2 linked regions of the Saccharomyces cerevisiae S288C genome follow. The protein of the gene in region 2 purifies or fractionates together with the protein of the main gene of each other region. This does not show direct contact. Each region holds a gene or a part of one and is shown on either strand. Other genes may lie near its edges.

Evidence for each region.
Region 1: the proteins of SAM2 (region 2) and URK1 purify together in Saccharomyces cerevisiae (affinity purification with mass spectrometry, with the first as the bait; one large-scale study listed by BioGRID). This does not show direct contact.

What each region holds. Positions count from the first base shown.
Region 1 is NC_001146.8:645,102-650,715, reverse strand, and holds URK1 (uridine kinase URK1), read right to left. Parts: upstream 3,285-5,614; coding exon 1,779-3,284; downstream 1-1,778. Other genes in the region: PHO91 (Pho91p), read left to right, coding at 1-1,688; DEAH-box RNA-dependent ATPase PRP2, read left to right, coding at 3,766-5,614. UniProt on the Saccharomyces cerevisiae protein: Catalyzes the conversion of uridine into UMP and cytidine into CMP in the pyrimidine salvage pathway.
Region 2 is NC_001136.10:1,447,824-1,460,683, forward strand, and holds SAM2 (methionine adenosyltransferase SAM2), read right to left. Parts: upstream 6,642-12,860; coding exon 5,487-6,641; downstream 1-5,486. Other genes in the region: LCD1 (Lcd1p), read left to right, coding at 7-2,250; 60S ribosomal protein eL37 RPL37B, read right to left, coding at 2,375-2,634, 3,024-3,030; PLM2 (Plm2p), read left to right, coding at 3,530-5,095; phosphatidate phosphatase LPP1, read right to left, coding at 7,219-8,043; SPG3 (Spg3p), read right to left, coding at 8,488-8,871; PSP1 (Psp1p), read right to left, coding at 8,872-11,397; GMC1 (putative oxidoreductase), read right to left, coding at 11,905-12,860. UniProt on the Saccharomyces cerevisiae protein: Catalyzes the formation of S-adenosylmethionine from methionine and ATP. The reaction comprises two steps that are both catalyzed by the same enzyme: formation of S-adenosylmethionine (AdoMet) and triphosphate, and subsequent hydrolysis of the triphosphate.

The sequences.
Region 1 (5,614 bases), on a different chromosome or scaffold from region 2:
GTGAATTATCCTCTCATTTGAGAGATCACGTAGTTTGGGAAAGAAACACCGTTTGGAAAGATATGATGAATTTGGAGAGAAAGTACCAATCTGCCAAGACTGACAACAAGAAGTTTTCAAAGTTGAGTTCCAGTCAATTGCGCCCCAATGCCAACATTACTGAATCCATGGCAATGTCGAGTGGTGGCGCCGGTATCATCGCTCCATCAACGGATTCCCTAACTTTCCGTGAACTCATGCATTTACCACCCAAGCAATGGTTGCAATTTATCATGGGCCAAACTTCCCTGCTGAAGTTTCTGTTAATCACCTCATGTTTCATTGCATTATTAACTTTTAATTTGACTCCTTTTACGCAGGATTCCTTACAGAAAAACTGTTTCGCCATCTTAATATATGCATCTTTATTATGGGCCACTGAGACCATCCCCCTTTTCGTGACTTCTCTAATGATTCCTCTGCTTATTGTAGTGTTCCCTGTTATCAAGGACCCTATCACCTCCCAACCAATGTCTCCCCGTGATTCCTCTCAGTTCATCTTATCAACGATGTGGTCGAGTGTCATCATGCTTTTGCTGGGTGGGTTTACTTTAGCAGCCGCCCTTTCCAAGTACAACATTGCCAAAGTCCTTTCTACGCATATTTTGGCATCCGCCGGTACAAACCCACATTTTATTCTTTTAACAAATATGTTTGTGGCGCTCTTTGTTTCCATGTGGGTTTCTAATGTTGCTGCCCCCGTTCTTTGCTATTCAATTGTTCAACCTTTGCTCAGAACACTGCCAAGAAATTGTTCCTATGCCAAAGCTCTAATTCTTGGTATCGCTCTTGCCTCCAATATCGGTGGTATGTCTTCTCCCATCGCTTCTCCTCAAAACATTTTTTCTATTGGTATAATGGACCCTTCACCATCTTGGGCTGAATGGTTTATGATTGCGCTACCTGTGTGCTTTATTTGTGTCATGGCAATTTGGGTGCTATTGATCATAACCTTCCCTCCTGAGCCAAATGTGAAAATTTTGCAATTGCATCCATCCCGTGATCCATTCACTCTGAAGCAATGGTTTGTCACTTTAGTTTGCATTATAACAATTGTTCTTTGGTGTCTTTCAAACCAAATCTCCGGTATCTTTGGTGAAATGGGAATCATATCTATTATACCTATAGTAGTCTTCTTCGGTACAGGTCTTCTAACTTCGGATGATTTCAATAATTTCATGTGGACAATCGTTGTTTTGGCCATGGGAGGTACCACCCTAGGTAAGGCGGTAAGCTCATCCGGTTTATTGTCTACAATGGCACAGTTAATTAAGGCGCAGGTTGAGCATGAACCAATCTTCATTATTGTGTTGATCTTCGGTCTAGTGATTCTTGTAATGGCCACTTTTGTCTCCCATACCGTCGCGGCAATGATCATCGTACCATTAATGAGTGAGATCGGTTCCAATCTACCTTCAGGTGATCATTCTAGACTATTGATCGTTATAGCCGCCCTATTATGCTCTAGTGCTATGGGTCTTCCAACCTCTGGTTTCCCCAACGTGACTGCCATTTCAATGATTGATGAAGTTGGTGATAGATATTTGACCGTGGGTACATTTATTACGAGAGGTGTACCAGCCAGTTTGTTAAGTTATGCCGCTATTGTTACAGTAGGTTATGGCATATTGAAAGTAATGGGATTTTAAGATTATCCATAGAGAGAATGAAAGGTTACTAATATAGTATGTATACGTGCACTATTATTTAATTTTACTTTATATTGCCTCTAATTATTCTCAATCACAACCAAAATACTTTGAATCAAAAAATCTGGTCAATGCCCATTTGTATTGATGATTTTGTAACTTTTCTCTGGAGATGATCATACCAGCAAAAATGTTGACTTTGTTATCAAATGCATTTAATATACGTCGGATACCAACTTCAGTGGCCAAATAAACCACCACGCTAATCTTTTCCAAATCAATACCATGATCTAAAAGCACCTGGATGGCCATGATCATGGCCGCACCACTTATGATTTGACCTTCCATTAAGAAAACCTTGCCAAACTTTTCTATATTTGGGGGTAAAAATTCGCAATGCAGTTGAGGTTCCCCAGTTTGTGAATCGGACTGAATCAACAATTTACCAATTGTGATATTGGGGATCGTCTTTCTCAAAGACTTCATAAAACAATCGCCAGATCGAATAATATTAACAGCTGTAACTTGATCGAATTGACAGGCAATAACGTTTTCCATGGTATGCTCACCAGGTGTAATTATGTTCGTATGTGCTACAGGAATGTCATCAAGTGCCCATGATAACAAAATTGTTGCTAACCTGTCAAAGTAGAAAACAAAGTCCGCGCAATTTAGATTTTTATTTAGAAGCATAGTATGCAGCGAAAGAACTTGGTTGGTGGGCGGCAATTCATGAATTATGTTACGATTAAGCACATCTTGTGAAGGAGAAGAGCCCAATTTGATTAGCTCTCTTAAGTGTTCATTTGATTTTAGTTCCAGTTTTGACTTGATGTGGTTAATGATTAAATTTACCGCTGTAGCATTATCACTCATCGATGGAATGATAGCATCTGCATTCTTCATTGTTGGTTTCACAAACTTTACCGCATTTGGTTTCACAAATTTCTCCCATTGTTGAATACAACCATCCAAATCTCTCCCTCTGGAAACTATATCTCTCGACAATCTTCTTGCTAAGCAGACATCCAAATCAGCGTCAACATAAATTTTCAAGTCCATCAAATCCAGCAATCGGCGATCGTAAAGGGCGTAGATCCCTTCGATAACTACCACACTGGCCCCGTATATGACTATATTTTTATCAGGAACTCTATTGTGGTGGACGAAGCTATAAACTGGGATATTTGTCCTTTTGCCCTCCTTTAAGTTCAAAATGCACTTATATGCCAAATCTAAGTTGATGGCATTTGGCTCGTCGAAATCGTATTCATTTTTAAAGGCTCTGGCTCTGTCCTCTGGGCCTAATGGATTGTAAAAGTTATCCAAAGATATTAATACTGTCCAGGGAACATTAATTGACGACACAATCTTAGCAGCAACGCTTGTCTTGCCTGAACCTGAAGCACCACCTATACCTATTATATATGGAGTTGTCCATGGTGGGATATACCGAGAGCTTTTTCCTTTTGTTTTTTTGACATCTACTTCACCATCCATGACTGCATTAGCTTTCAATGTGTCTCTTGTTTCATCGTCTAAAATTGAAATAAATGATGAAGATCGTTCTTTGGAAGGTGCTATACGATGGGACATAATAAATAAAATAAATGCGAGTTCGAAATTAAACGTATGAAATTATCGAAGATGTCGCATATAAATAGTAAATAAGACGTTATCCAAGGCCTACAGCCTTACGAAAAAAAAAAAAAATCACATCTCTTATCTTATCGATCTAAATTTTTCAGTTTCCTTTTTTCATCTCGAAGCTCATCGCATGAAAAAAAAACTTCGATATGTGAGCGTATTAAGACAATAGAGGAAATAGTGAGAACAAGTGGGAAAATTAAAGACTAATCATCGAAAATATGCAAGAATTCTTTAAGTGCTCGTATCTCAAATGTAGCCAAAACAGTACTAGCCCATACAACCTGATGACGAGAACGTGCTGAAAGTGGAAGACAGTTAGTTACCCGGACAATTAAAAAGTGATATTAATCAATTGTATAAGTAATAACGGATAGCTGCTATATGTTTAATTGGCATCTATATAGATAACAAGCGTGTATAGCAACACATGTCAAGTATTACATCTGAAACCGGTAAGCGAAGAGTGAAACGAACGTATGAAGTTACAAGACAGAATGACAATGCAGTAAGAATAGAGCCTTCTTCCTTGGGTGAGGAAGAAGACAAAGAGGCCAAGGATAAGAACTCTGCCTTGCAGCTAAAACGATCACGCTATGACCCCAATAAAGTTTTTTCTAATACGAACCAAGGTCCAGAAAAGAACAATTTAAAAGGAGAACAACTTGGATCACAAAAAAAGTCATCAAAGTATGATGAAAAAATAACGTCAAATAATGAACTTACTACAAAGAAGGGTCTACTAGGTGACTCCGAGAATGAAACTAAGTACGCCTCTTCTAATTCTAAATTTAACGTAGAAGTTACTCATAAAATAAAGAATGCAAAAGAAATTGACAAAATAAACAGACAACGCATGTGGGAAGAACAACAATTGCGAAATGCTATGGCGGGGCAAAGCGATCACCCTGATGATATAACATTGGAAGGCTCTGACAAGTACGATTATGTGTTCGACACAGATGCAATGATTGATTATACTAATGAGGAGGACGATTTACTACCTGAAGAGAAACTTCAATATGAGGCACGTCTAGCACAAGCTTTAGAAACTGAGGAAAAGCGTATACTGACTATACAAGAGGCAAGAAAACTTTTGCCTGTACATCAATACAAGGATGAGCTACTACAAGAGATCAAAAAAAATCAAGTTTTGATTATAATGGGTGAAACCGGTTCTGGTAAAACCACACAGTTACCCCAATATTTGGTAGAAGATGGATTCACTGATCAGGGAAAGTTACAGATTGCCATAACACAACCACGTCGTGTGGCGGCCACTTCTGTTGCTGCAAGAGTAGCAGATGAAATGAATGTTGTGCTTGGGAAGGAAGTGGGTTATCAGATCCGTTTTGAAGACAAAACAACCCCAAATAAAACGGTTCTAAAGTATATGACGGATGGTATGTTACTAAGAGAATTTCTTACAGATTCCAAATTAAGCAAATATTCTTGTATTATGATTGATGAAGCTCATGAACGTACTCTAGCCACAGATATCCTGATAGGTTTGCTGAAAGATATTTTGCCGCAGAGGCCCACTTTAAAATTGCTTATATCATCAGCAACAATGAACGCAAAAAAATTTTCAGAGTTTTTTGATAATTGTCCCATTTTCAACGTTCCTGGGAGAAGATATCCTGTAGATATCCACTACACATTACAGCCGGAGGCAAACTATATACATGCCGCTATAACAACTATTTTTCAAATTCATACTACGCAAAGTTTACCGGGGGATATATTGGTGTTTTTAACGGGGCAAGAAGAAATTGAAAGAACAAAAACCAAACTGGAGGAGATCATGTCTAAATTAGGTTCTAGAACAAAACAAATGATTATAACTCCTATATACGCAAATTTACCCCAAGAGCAGCAATTGAAAATTTTCCAGCCGACTCCGGAAAATTGTAGGAAAGTTGTTTTGGCAACTAATATTGCGGAAACTTCATTGACCATTGATGGTATTAGATATGTCATTGATCCTGGATTTGTTAAGGAAAATTCGTACGTACCCTCCACTGGAATGACCCAACTTTTAACAGTTCCATGCTCAAGAGCTTCAGTTGATCAGCGTGCCGGTAGGGCTGGTCGTGTTGGGCCGGGAAAATGTTTTAGAATTTTTACCAAATGGTCATATTTGCACGAGTTGGAACTTATGCCTAAGCCTGAGATCACAAGAACAAATCTTTCTAATACGGTGTTATTATTATTATCGCTTGGCGTTACTGACCTAATAAAGTTTCCCCTGATGGATAAGCCCAGTATCCCCACATTAC
Region 2 (12,860 bases):
TTATAGATGAGACGAGAAACGGTGGGTGAATTTTCTTCAGATGACGATGATGATATTCTTTTGGAATTAGGCACCAGGCCTCCAAGGTTTACTCAAATACCGCCATCATCAGCAGCATTACAAACACAAATTCCCACTACTTTGGAGGTTACAACGACCACATTAAACAATAAACAGAGTAAAAATGATAACCAACTGGTTAACCAACTGAATAAAGCTCAAGGTGAAGCAAGCATGCTTCGTGATAAAATAAACTTTTTGAACATTGAAAGGGAAAAGGAAAAGAATATTCAAGCCGTCAAAGTTAATGAATTGCAAGTCAAGCATCTTCAAGAGTTGGCTAAATTAAAACAAGAATTACAGAAACTGGAAGATGAGAAGAAGTTCTTACAGATGGAAGCGAGAGGAAAATCGAAAAGGGAAGTTATTACGAATGTAAAACCACCGTCAACAACATTATCAACAAACACAAACACTATAACGCCAGATTCGTCCTCAGTTGCAATCGAAGCAAAACCTCAATCACCACAATCAAAAAAACGTAAGATAAGTGATAATTTACTGAAAAAAAATATGGTTCCCCTAAACCCAAATAGGATTATTCCCGATGAAACGAGTTTATTTCTAGAGTCAATATTACTTCATCAAATAATAGGCGCTGACCTGAGCACAATAGAAATATTAAATAGATTGAAGCTTGACTACATCACAGAGTTTAAATTTAAGAATTTCGTCATTGCTAAAGGAGCCCCCATAGGGAAGTCCATAGTTTCTCTACTTTTGCGATGTAAAAAGACGTTGACCCTCGACAGGTTCATAGATACTTTGCTAGAGGATATAGCTGTTTTGATCAAGGAAATATCAGTTCATCCAAATGAATCGAAATTAGCTGTCCCATTTCTCGTTGCATTGATGTATCAGATTGTACAATTTCGTCCTAGTGCCACTCATAATTTAGCACTGAAGGATTGTTTTCTTTTTATTTGCGATTTAATAAGAATCTATCATCATGTATTGAAAGTACCGATACATGAATCAAATATGAATTTGCATGTAGAACCTCAGATTTTCCAATATGAACTGATAGACTATTTGATAATTTCGTATTCCTTTGATCTCCTAGAAGGTATATTAAGGGTACTGCAGTCGCATCCTAAGCAAACTTATATGGAATTTTTTGATGAAAATATTCTAAAATCATTTGAATTTGTCTACAAACTAGCACTAACCATTTCATACAAGCCAATGGTAAATGTAATATTTAGTGCAGTCGAGGTCGTTAATATTATCACTAGTATAATATTAAATATGGACAATTCCTCAGATCTGAAATCCTTGATAAGCGGTAGTTGGTGGAGAGATTGTATTACAAGATTATACGCTCTTTTGGAAAAGGAAATTAAGAGTGGCGACGTATATAATGAAAATGTGGATACTACAACTCTTCATATGTCGAAGTACCATGACTTTTTTGGGTTAATCCGAAATATAGGTGATAATGAATTGGGAGGATTGATATCAAAGCTGATTTATACTGACCGATTGCAAAGTGTCCCAAGGGTAATTTCTAAAGAGGATATTGGGATGGATAGCGACAAATTCACTGCCCCTATAATAGGTTACAAGATGGAAAAATGGCTTTTGAAGTTAAAAGATGAAGTTTTAAATATTTTTGAAAATTTATTAATGATCTATGGAGACGATGCGACCATAGTAAATGGAGAAATGCTCATCCACTCCTCTAAATTCTTATCCAGGGAGCAAGCGTTAATGATAGAAAGGTACGTGGGACAAGACTCCCCGAACTTGGACCTCAGATGCCATCTTATTGAACATACTTTAACCATAATATATAGGCTATGGAAAGACCATTTCAAACAATTGCGTGAAGAACAAATCAAGCAGGTAGAAAGCCAATTGATTATGTCACTATGGAGGTTTCTCGTATGCCAAACCGAAACTGTGACAGCAAACGAAAGAGAAATGAGAGATCATCGACACCTTGTAGATAGTTTGCATGATCTGACGATAAAGGATCAAGCCTCTTATTACGAAGATGCCTTTGAGGATTTACCAGAATATATCGAAGAAGAATTGAAGATGCAATTGAATAAAAGAACGGGGAGAATAATGCAAGTAAAGTACGATGAGAAATTTCAAGAAATGGCAAGAACTATTCTTGAGTCAAAATCATTCGATCTAACCACACTAGAGGAGGCCGATTCATTATATATCTCAATGGGACTGTAAGGCAACAATCAAAAGGGGAAAATGTCAACGCTTTATAGAAACCTTGTAATGCTTAATATTAACTATATATAATTTATATTATTTTCGTTTTAGGAAAGAACAAAACTTATAGATAATATCAAATTTAAGCAGAAGTAGCCTTAGCAGAACCGGTTTGGAAACCGTTCTTAAATCTTCTGGAGACATGCTTCAAATATCTCATTCTACCGGTACCAGTAGTGTGTCTTCTCTTTGCCTTGGCAGCCCAGTTGTGAGATCTAGTCTTAGCGGATGGGTAACCACAAGAGGAACAGGTCTTCTTTTGAACATGGAAAGAACGACGACCACATCTGTTACACAAGGTGTGAGATTTGTTGTGACGCTTACCGAATGAAGGAGTACCCTCTGTTTAAAATGAAAACATAAAAGTTAATTATCGTTAGTAAAACTTTGAACTAAATAAACTCTACTGCTGGATTCAGAACAACTTCATTGGCGGTCTAGATGTGTGTTGCTGTCTTACACTATTTCTTCTCACCTTTTTGTATTGACACTCAAATCTTTTTATTCGCTCTTTATGCATCCGTTATGTGCAATTTCTTATCATCAATGGCTCTGGCAACATTCATCATTCTATATTTTTAAATCTTTTGGCATAGTGAATAACGTAGGTCTTAGTTTACCTGGCCTCTCCTGGTGGAAAATTTTTTCAGTGCTTCTTTCTCATGTAATCCTCTAAATCAGACCGGATGTGATTGAACGTTGACTCATCAATTAATAATTCCTGTACATACTACCCATCTTTACTTATATATTCGTTTACCTCTTTGTTCTTTATCTACACATAGTAGTGCTTTTTGTTACCGCTTTCTATAGTAACCTATGCTTACTATTCCAGCCATGTTTCCAATCTCATCCTTCCCGCAAGTGGCAGGAAGATTCTCAGTGATAATATTAGTGGTGTACGGAGTGCTTGAAGAAAAAAAAAACTGATATAGAACCCAAAAATGTTCGGCTTTTAAAATACAAATATGTACAGGTGTTAATGTCTAAATAATGATAATCCAAACGCGATAATTTTTTTTTCGCGTTTGTTTTTGTTTCAGAAGAATAAGTAAACACTTCTGCCTCTCCCAAGAAAGTTTAATTTCTCTCCTTATTTGCCGTTTCTATCGTTACTAGCAACGGGGAACAATATATAGAAGCGTTTTTTTTTTTGGTATACTATTTACACAATATTTGCCGATTTCATTAGTCTTTTCGCTAGAAGTTTCACGACAAAATCGTCACAATTTTGGTTATGTCCCATCTCTTCCCACCATCATCACCAGTTGCTGGTAAACCTTTGGAAAGCCCACAAAAAGAACCTGGTAAGCTTGCTAATACTTCTGTATTGACCTTAGGAAGAAAACGGTATAATTACGAATTGGAAGAGTATCCTACTCCAGACCCGTCGTCTAGCATCGGAAGACAATCTTCACCAGTGAAAGATATCACTTCACGTTTAAATGAGACCAAATCTGCCTTGTCATCTCCTTCAAAGCAAGAAAAGGTGCTTGCAGGCCCTATCGAGATTGAATTAGATGCATCGGATCCCTCACGTTTAGCCATCGGTAGGAAAAAATCAGTCTGCAACATTATTTTGCCATGCAGAAAGAATATCTCTAGGCAGCACGCTTTTATTTCATACGCCGCCGACAGAAATGAAATAAAATTGGAATGTAATGGAACTAATGGGTTGTCCGTTCACTTGCCTTACTCCATGCAGTTGCATTTGGTAAAACCCTTCCCAACAAGGAACTTTTATAAACTAGTGGCAGAAGAGCCTTTGACCTCGCAAAATACTAAACAATCGCATGGAAAAACTCTTCAAAAGAACCAAAACTTCATCAGCTTTGTTTTGGCTAAAGGTGAAACTGTTACTTTCCCCTATATCCAAGGAAGTTTCATAAATTTTACAGGCGTCACAGTCTGTCTTTCATTGAAAAAAGTAGCACCTTATCCTGGCGATGGCAACAATAACTTTGACGAAGAGAACTCGACAGAAACGGAGGATGAGTTGTGTTTATTAACAACAACGAGCGATGATTTTTCTTGGCAAAAAGAAACACCTTCGATGAAATTTGTCCCAGTTGAGCATTCACCTCGTACAGAACAGATCTCAAAACCATTACTTATTGCATCTCCTGCTCTTGTGAAAAACTCCCCCATTAGTTATAGAACAACACCCCAAACATCTTTCGTTATTAATCAGCCATCAACTCCAAAGAAACTGAAGCGTAAATCAATTTCATTGAAAAATAACACTATACAAGAGACACCACTTCCTAAAGATAAAATAATTGGGACATTAAGTGCCAGTACTAGGAGTGGTGGCATTAATGAAGAAGAATCTTTCGCAGCAGTTGCAAAAAAAACTAAAGAGCTGTCTTCTACAACCGCGATTGTATCTCCTGCACAAAAACGTCTTAAGACTTCATTGAATATTATTCCCGAAATTTCTCGGTCGCTCTCAGAAAGAGGAATTCGGTTTGATGACCTAGTTCATGTGCTATGTAATCATCTTGCATTTTCTAACCTTCAACAAACGCCTTTATCCCAATTGCAAAACATCAATTCCAACACTTCACAATTAAGCAAAGATGAACTAAAAAAGGTCTTGGAGACTATTTCTTGCATTGGTATTATTGTGCGTGAAGGAAAAGATGCGTCTGGCAAGCCATTAGAAGACGAGTATTACTATGATGTTGAAAACGATGATAGCGACGAGAGAAAGATTTTGTATAATTCGTTAAAAGGCAGGAGCCGATTAAGGTCGTGCAGGAAGAAACATAAACAGTATTTCTGGAAGAGGCCGACCAAATAACCTCAAAGACATTCTATATTTCAACCTTATTTCCATAGCATAGTCATATTACCACGTGGAGCATCATGAAAAAAACTGGTAAAACTCGTCAAAAAGTTCTAAAAACATAAAGTAATATTTTCTATATATTTCCGTTGAAGGAGCTAATACATAATCCATACAAAATAGATCATTATGCCTAGATGTTATTCTATTGGTGTTTGTCAAGTTTAAGAATGTTTAAAACTTTTCTATTGTATCATTTTCTAGTAATTACATGACTCGAGTTGAGCGAATCAAACGATAAGGCATCGTCTTCTCAATATAGGGAGGTGATCGGGACCAGCCTAGCATAAAGAAAGGGATTGAAATAATTATAAAAATCAAAATAAAACATTTATTGTCTAAATGTTTAAAATTCCAATTTCTTTGGTTTTTCCCATGAGTACTCTTGATTAGTGAAGTGACCATAAGAAGCGGTTGGTAAGTAAATTGGTCTAGCCAAATCTAATTCCTTTACTAACACACCTGGTCTCAAGTCGAAGTTCTTCTTAATAATTTCAATGATTTCGTCATCTGATTTTGTAGCTGTACCATAGGTGTCCACATGTAAAGACAATGGTTCAGCAATACCAATAGCATATGAAAATTGGACTTGGACTCTCTTACACAAACCAGCGGCAACTAGAGACTTGGCAACCCATCTAGCAGCGTAAGCAGCGGAACGATCGACCTTGGAATAGTCCTTACCGGAGAAGGCACCACCACCGACGGATGAGGCACCACCGTAAGCGTCGACAATAATCTTTCTACCGGTCAAACCAGCGTCACCTTGAGGACCACCGATGACGAATCTACCGGATGGTTGGATGAAATATTTGGTATTTTCGTCTAACATATCCTTTGGTATGACCTTTTCAACAATATCTTTTTGAAGTTGAGTTCTCAAGTCAGCGGTGGAAATTTCATCAGCATGTTGAGCAGAAATAACAACGGTATCTATCCTCTTTGGAACCCATCTACCATTGTCGTCTTCGTATTCGACAGTGACTTGAGTCTTTGTGTCTGGTCTCAACCATGGGAGAGAACCATCTCTTCTAGCATCTGCCATAGCCATGTTCAATTTGTGAGCCAAAAGAATGGTCAATGGTAACCCTTCTGGAGTTTCGTCTGTAGCGTAACCAAACATTATACCTTGGTCACCAGCACCTAAGTCTTCTAAGCTCTTTTCATAGTGCAGACCTTGAGCGATATCTGGAGATTGTTGTTCGATAGCTACTAAAACATTACATGTCTTGTAGTCGAAACCCTTGGCAGAATCGTCATAACCAATCTTCTTGATGGTATCTCTTACTATTTGTTGGTAGTCAAGTCTAGCTTTGGTGGTAATTTCACCGAAAACCATAATCATACCAGTTTTGGCAGCTGTTTCACAGGCAACCTTGGAGAATGGATCTTGTTCTAAACAAGCGTCCAAAATAGCATCAGAAACTTGGTCACAAATCTTGTCTGGGTGACCTTCACCGACGGATTCAGAGGTAAATAAGAAAGTTTTGCTCTTGGACATGATTATGTTTGTATATTGTCGTAAATACTGGATATATTGAAGACAGTTATGTTTTTTAAACCTTTTAAAAAAAGAAAAAAGGGGCAGAAGCAAGATTCTCGAAAATACTTTGTAGAAAGGACAGATATAACCTCCTTCTTATACGCCTCAAGACGACAGATGACTACCAAAAAGAAATCAAGATCTCCTTGCATATGAAGATTTGACGTCGTTTACAAGAGCTATCTCAGAAATTTCATCGGTATTTTGGCTTCGGTTAATATCTGGCGTGGACCCATCGGTGGAAAAACGCCACAGTTTTCAAGCTCAATTATAGTCACGTGGGTAGAAATATTACACTGCACCGCAAGAAAGTACGACCAGATGAATCACATGTGAAGATGTTAACAAGTTTACATACTTTTTGATCAGGTAAGCTATGCATAATGTCTTAGTTTTAGTTATGTAAAGAAATGCAAACTTTTAGTGCATATTTTATCTTATATAATAGAGCAAAGCTCGCCAGTGCTCCAGTTGTTACCTGAGAATGAAGCTTGATCGGCTTTTATTCTTTCCTGATAGGACTCTGTAAGTGTTACTAAACACTAACCGGTGAAGGAAGTATGTCTCTTTTCGCCAAGTTTGTAAATGTCCATTTCCAGCAACAATAAATGACTAAAAATGCTAGAACAGCTCCAGAGACAACATCGTACCAATGATGTCTGTGATCGATAACCCTTGAAACCATTACTACTAGAGCTAATAAAGGGCACCAAATGCAACTTCTTGTATTGCGTGTGGTGAAAACCCTTTGCCAAAGATATGTAAAGCCCATGGTACTGACTATGAAACTTGAATGTCCGCTTGGAGTGCTTTTTAAGCCTTCGTATAGAATCCATTTGTTAGTCTGCTTGCAAATGTCCAAGCCAAAAACCAAAGAATCTGAATCACTCATCTTTTGGAGGTCAGGTATACATCTATCAACAAAGTCAGGCCTCAAGTTTCCTATAATCAACTTTAAGGCGCCTGTTAGGGCAGCATTTATGCTTATAATCAGCATCAGACATAGAATGCTAGTATGCATGAAGTGAAAATCGTTCGAGATTCCGTCCGGCCTCTCTCTTAGTCTCTTTACTCTATTCTTCTTCAGTAAGTCCTTGTCAAACATGCAGGTCCAGAAGACGACCATGTTACTCAGTCCAACACTCAAAATCAAACATTCTAGTGGGCCCACGAGTTCGTTAGGTACATAACGTTTTGATATACTGGGGTCATCAAGACTAAATTCGATGTTTTGGCCCCTAGGTACCAGGGATATCTCCGAATAGAGGAATAATATCGTACATAGACCAATTATCATGTACTGAAAGTAGTATAGCTTAAAATACTCCTTATGTTTCTCATCCGCCATGACAGAGATCATCCTTGGTAGAATATGACGAGTTTCCTTAGGCGTTGATGTAGGAGTTTCTCACTCTTGAAAGCAGTAAAATCACTTCAAAGAATGGCTTTCTTTCTTCCCTTAAAGACTATAAGTTGTCAGGTTTCACGTGGCAACTACAAGAAAAAAAATTCTTACGCGTGAACCAAAACAAAAATTATCAACCAATACATGTCGACAAATAATGAATTAGAGCAATAGCCACGATAACAGACCTTGATTAAATGTAAACTACATATAAGTTTATAAGGGTTGGTTGATTCCATTATTTTTTGTTTTTTATATAAAGCCTATGAAAAATAAATGGAAGCGGCTGTTAGAATATAAAATAGAAGTTGAAACAACAAAAATGTAAGAAAGTTGCCAACAATAAATCTCAAACTTGAAAGTGTGGATCGAGGAATATGGACAATCTTTAAAAAATTTTTAGTCCCGTAGTTTTTCGAATTTTTCCTTACCAGTGACCATGAAACCATGATTGGGAGACGTATAAGTAATTTTTATCAAAGTTAAACAGAATAATGAACATTTTCTTCTATTTCTCCCTGTGAAGTTTTCATATAGAAAAAAACATAAGGGAAAGAAAATATTGATAATAGAAAGATAGTACCAAATTGAATTGGCAGGAAAATAGGTAAACAACGAACAGAAACGATAAAACAAAATAACATAAAAAAAGTAGACAAAAATAAAAACAAAAACAAAAACAAACAAAAACAAAAACAATGAAAAAATGTTAACAAAATAATGGCAAATGGTTGTCTTTTCTTTTAGAAAATTTATAGTTACAACAAGGAAATAACAGATCATTTAATGAAATAATTCGTGAACTAATTCTTCATACACAGCAATCTGAAAGTTGTCGAGTTCAATTTCGTTCAACGGAGGTGCAAAATTAACTCTGTTATTCCCCCTGTTCTGCGAAAACTCATTGACATTCATTAAATCTTCAGCATTGTAATTTTTTACTATGTTTTGATATAATTTCAGCTCTTTTTGTTGTTTATCATAATACTTAGAATCAATAGACAGATTATTCGGGATGGCACACAACCAAATTCTTGTCTTGTAATATTTGAACAGCTCTTTTATCAAGTCTCTAAAATCATTTCTCTCCTCACAAACGTAGTAAAACGTTAATTTCTTTCTATCAAATTGGAATTCTGCGTTTAAAATCTTGATATTCAATTTAGGCTTTGAATAAGTTGCAGCATTCGTAAAATTATTGGAAGAACTGTCATTTGTATTTTGAGATTTTGAATTATCATTTAACGCTTGTAATTTACTCTGAGCAATATGCAAGGCTTTTAATTCATCTTCAAATTTATTGTGCAAATTCGTTGTTACCTCCCACGGGGTGGCAAAACGTAAGACTTGTTTAGATGGTATGATTAACTCAGTTAATTCAACAACATCATACAATTTGGGATTTAATTTTTTCTTTTGCCCATTTTTTGAGTCAATCAACATTTGAATAAACTCATCATTGCGATAGTGCTGTGACTCACTTGTAATTAAAGAGTCAAAGTGAATTTTCTTTTTCAGAAAATTTATAAATAATGCTAAATTCAAATCGACAGAGGGCTCAACAACCAATACTAAATCCCTTCCACGGTCACCATCAATAATAACCAAGTCACCTCTCTTTAACAACAAATTGGTAGCTTGTGGAGTAGATAGTAGTTCAAGTTTCCCATTTTTCAAAGCAACCAGTACCAATGGTGTATAAGGTAAAAAGGAGTTATTAGCATTCCTGCATGATAGTTCTGTTGTGAAAGAGCCCTTCCTCCTATTTTTATTGCCTCCATTATTGGAAACAATTCCATTATTCGACTCTGGATCATTAACGTAATTCATGTTGCAACTTCTTAAAATGTCCAAGAAATTTAATAAAGATTGGTATGTATTACCTTCTTCATCGATTAAGCCCATGTTCTTCGCGTCGTAACTTTCATTAGAATCGTGCAACTTCAGCATTTTCTTAATATTATCTGTGAATTCAAAAACTGCAGAGCTAGCAAAATAGCCGCTGCCACAGTCGCTGTATAAATCGTGTAAGGTTTTGGACGAAGTCAAGTGTTTACCCTGAATTAAAACTAAACCATTGTCCAAAGATACATTTCCTTCATTGCTGTTCTCGTTCTGAAGGTTATGTGAGTTTGTAGAAGAAGGGACAGAACTGCTTCTTTGAAGTTGAACAAGCTGAACATCATCAACACGTTCGCCATTGAAAGAAGTAGGTACATTAACGTTTCTTGGTTGTTGTGGTTGTTGTGGTTGTTGCTGTTGTTGTTGAAAAGTAGGAAGGGATGGATTGAAGCTCGCTACCGGTTGTGTATTCCGGCGAAACTGTTGCATTGGAACCATATTGTGACTGTTGTTGTTGTTATTACTATTGCTGATACTGGCATTATTAGGCTCGTTATCATAAGGATACGGAGGTTGTACACCATTTCCAAACTCGGGCACACCTTTGGCGGTCAAATGGGTTGAGTTCAAGTTGTCATAGTTGAATCTGCTATTGAAAAGATTGAAACCTTGAGCGTGTTGCTGCTGCACTTGGGATGTTTGCTTTTGCCGAGCGTCAGGCATTTGATGGTTGATTAGAGTATCTGATATGTAGGAGGATCTCCTAATGGTAGACTCTGGATGAGATGGCTGTTGCCAATTAAATGATGGTACTTGTTGGTTGTTCATACTAGATGGGTTGCCAGCACTGTGTGATGGGGCAGCAAAATTGCTGCCGCTATTGGAAGTAAAACCTATGTTTGTTTTATTCATTAAACGCATGTAGTCTGAATCCATCCGATTCCCCATTAGGTCGTTTCCATTTGAATGAAATGAATTTCCATTAAATTGCGGGAACGACCGTTGTTGAGCTTGATAATTACCCATTTGAGTAGAGTTTAAATTATTGTTATTGGATGAAATGGGCGGTGCGGACATCGGCTCTGAATTAGACGAAGACATTTGAAAAGAGGTCAAATTACTGGAAGGGTGTTCTTGAATGAACCCGTTCTGGTGAGAAAACGGTTGCTGTTGTTGATTTGGCACTGGTGGCAAATACGGAAACCTACCCATAAAATCAATATCGTCAAAAGTCCTCCTGTTTTCCATACCATTTCCCGCACTTTTTATTGAGTTTCTCAAATTATTCAGGCCAGCAAGCGGATCAACCGTATCACTTCCTGAATTATTGGAGTTATCATTCAGTTTACGGGGTAAATCGGATAGCGATTTTCCGCTGTTATTCTTGAAAAGCAAGTCCTCATAGTAGTTCTTTAAATCCACATTGTCGGAAATGCTTGTTGTGCTATTAACAGTTGGGAGGTCCATTTTGCAACTGTATTTCTATTGAGCACTGTATCAGACACCGCTTTTTTTGATTTATCCTTCGTTTTTTTCTCTATAATTCTCTTGAGCCTTTCAATACACTTTATTCTTTTCTATATACGCTGTTTACTATATCAAAGAACACTCGAACTGATGCTATCTCTGTTTCTAACTGCCGAACCAATGAAAAATACAGCTCTTAATTATCAGTGAATCCTTCTTCTTATCCTTTATTTATTTTTGTTTTGTTCCTTTAGCTAAAACACGGATCCGTAATGTTATCCAACACGATTAGGGGAAGGATTCGTCTCCAAAAAACCGTTATGACCCAATCCTATATGACCTACGGCAGTCAGAGAAATACAGGTTTTCGCACTCGGAGGCGATTGTCGCCAATGGAAAGCTAGCCGATACTTTTTCCGTCAGCTTTGCGGGTTTTCTTTTTTGCGGCCTTGTAAACGGCTGTGGGAAAAGCGAAAAAAAGCAATGAGTTGGGAGAAATGGATGTGATTACATGAGCAACCAGTAGAAGATAGCATCAACCGCACACATGATTAGGATGTAGACGGCTATTACCTTGGACTTATTTTGTTCAAGTGCGGCTGTATGGACAACAGTGTTAGGGTCAGGTTCCTTGGTAGGGTACGATAATACAGCTGTAGTTGCTTGTTTGGTACTGTCCTCGGTTGTTGTCGGAACCTCAAAGACAATGCCAAGCCCCTTCATCATGTGCCACTCCACATGACAATGTAAAAGCCATTTTCCGGGCATCTCGGTGTTAATTCTCAAAACCGCGTAAGAATTTCCTGCAATGTTAATGCTATCCCTTACCATCGGTGCCTTTCCGGTTCGGGCCAGGTGACGTAAATCGTTCTGATAGCGGCTCCATGCCTTGCCCTCTTGTACGTCTTTGTGAAATGGGCCATCACCTTTATTGCCAAGAGATATTATCTGGAAGTGATGGCCATGCATATGCCATGGGTGTCTCATGTGGTCCAGTGAGTTGATTACAATATCATATGTTTCGTTGAATCCGAACCTTACCGGGTCTTTTACGTACTCGCTGAATGTCCGTTCGTTCACCTTATACATCCCAGTCCCATACTTTTGTTTCGTGCTTTCATCTTTGTAATAAGCATAATCGAATTCGAAAACTGCAACAGGATCAGCCTTTGTGCGTAACTTTTTATTCTCTTCTTGCGTTGGTTCTATGTCGCGATAAAGCTCGGCCTTAGTGAAACCAGGCAAGTGTTCGATGGAAACGTCATTGGGGTTCTTTGGTAGGTCCAAATGAGCGCCTTCTTTGTAAAACCACCACTGTTTTGTTATATAACCCATCATTTTGTTACAGCCATTAATCATACGAATAAAACTAGTGTCAGACTTTAGTTTGACCAAAATTGTATATCTTTGTCCGACCGCTAAATTTATCGTTTGTACAATGAACGGTTTAATCATAATCCCGT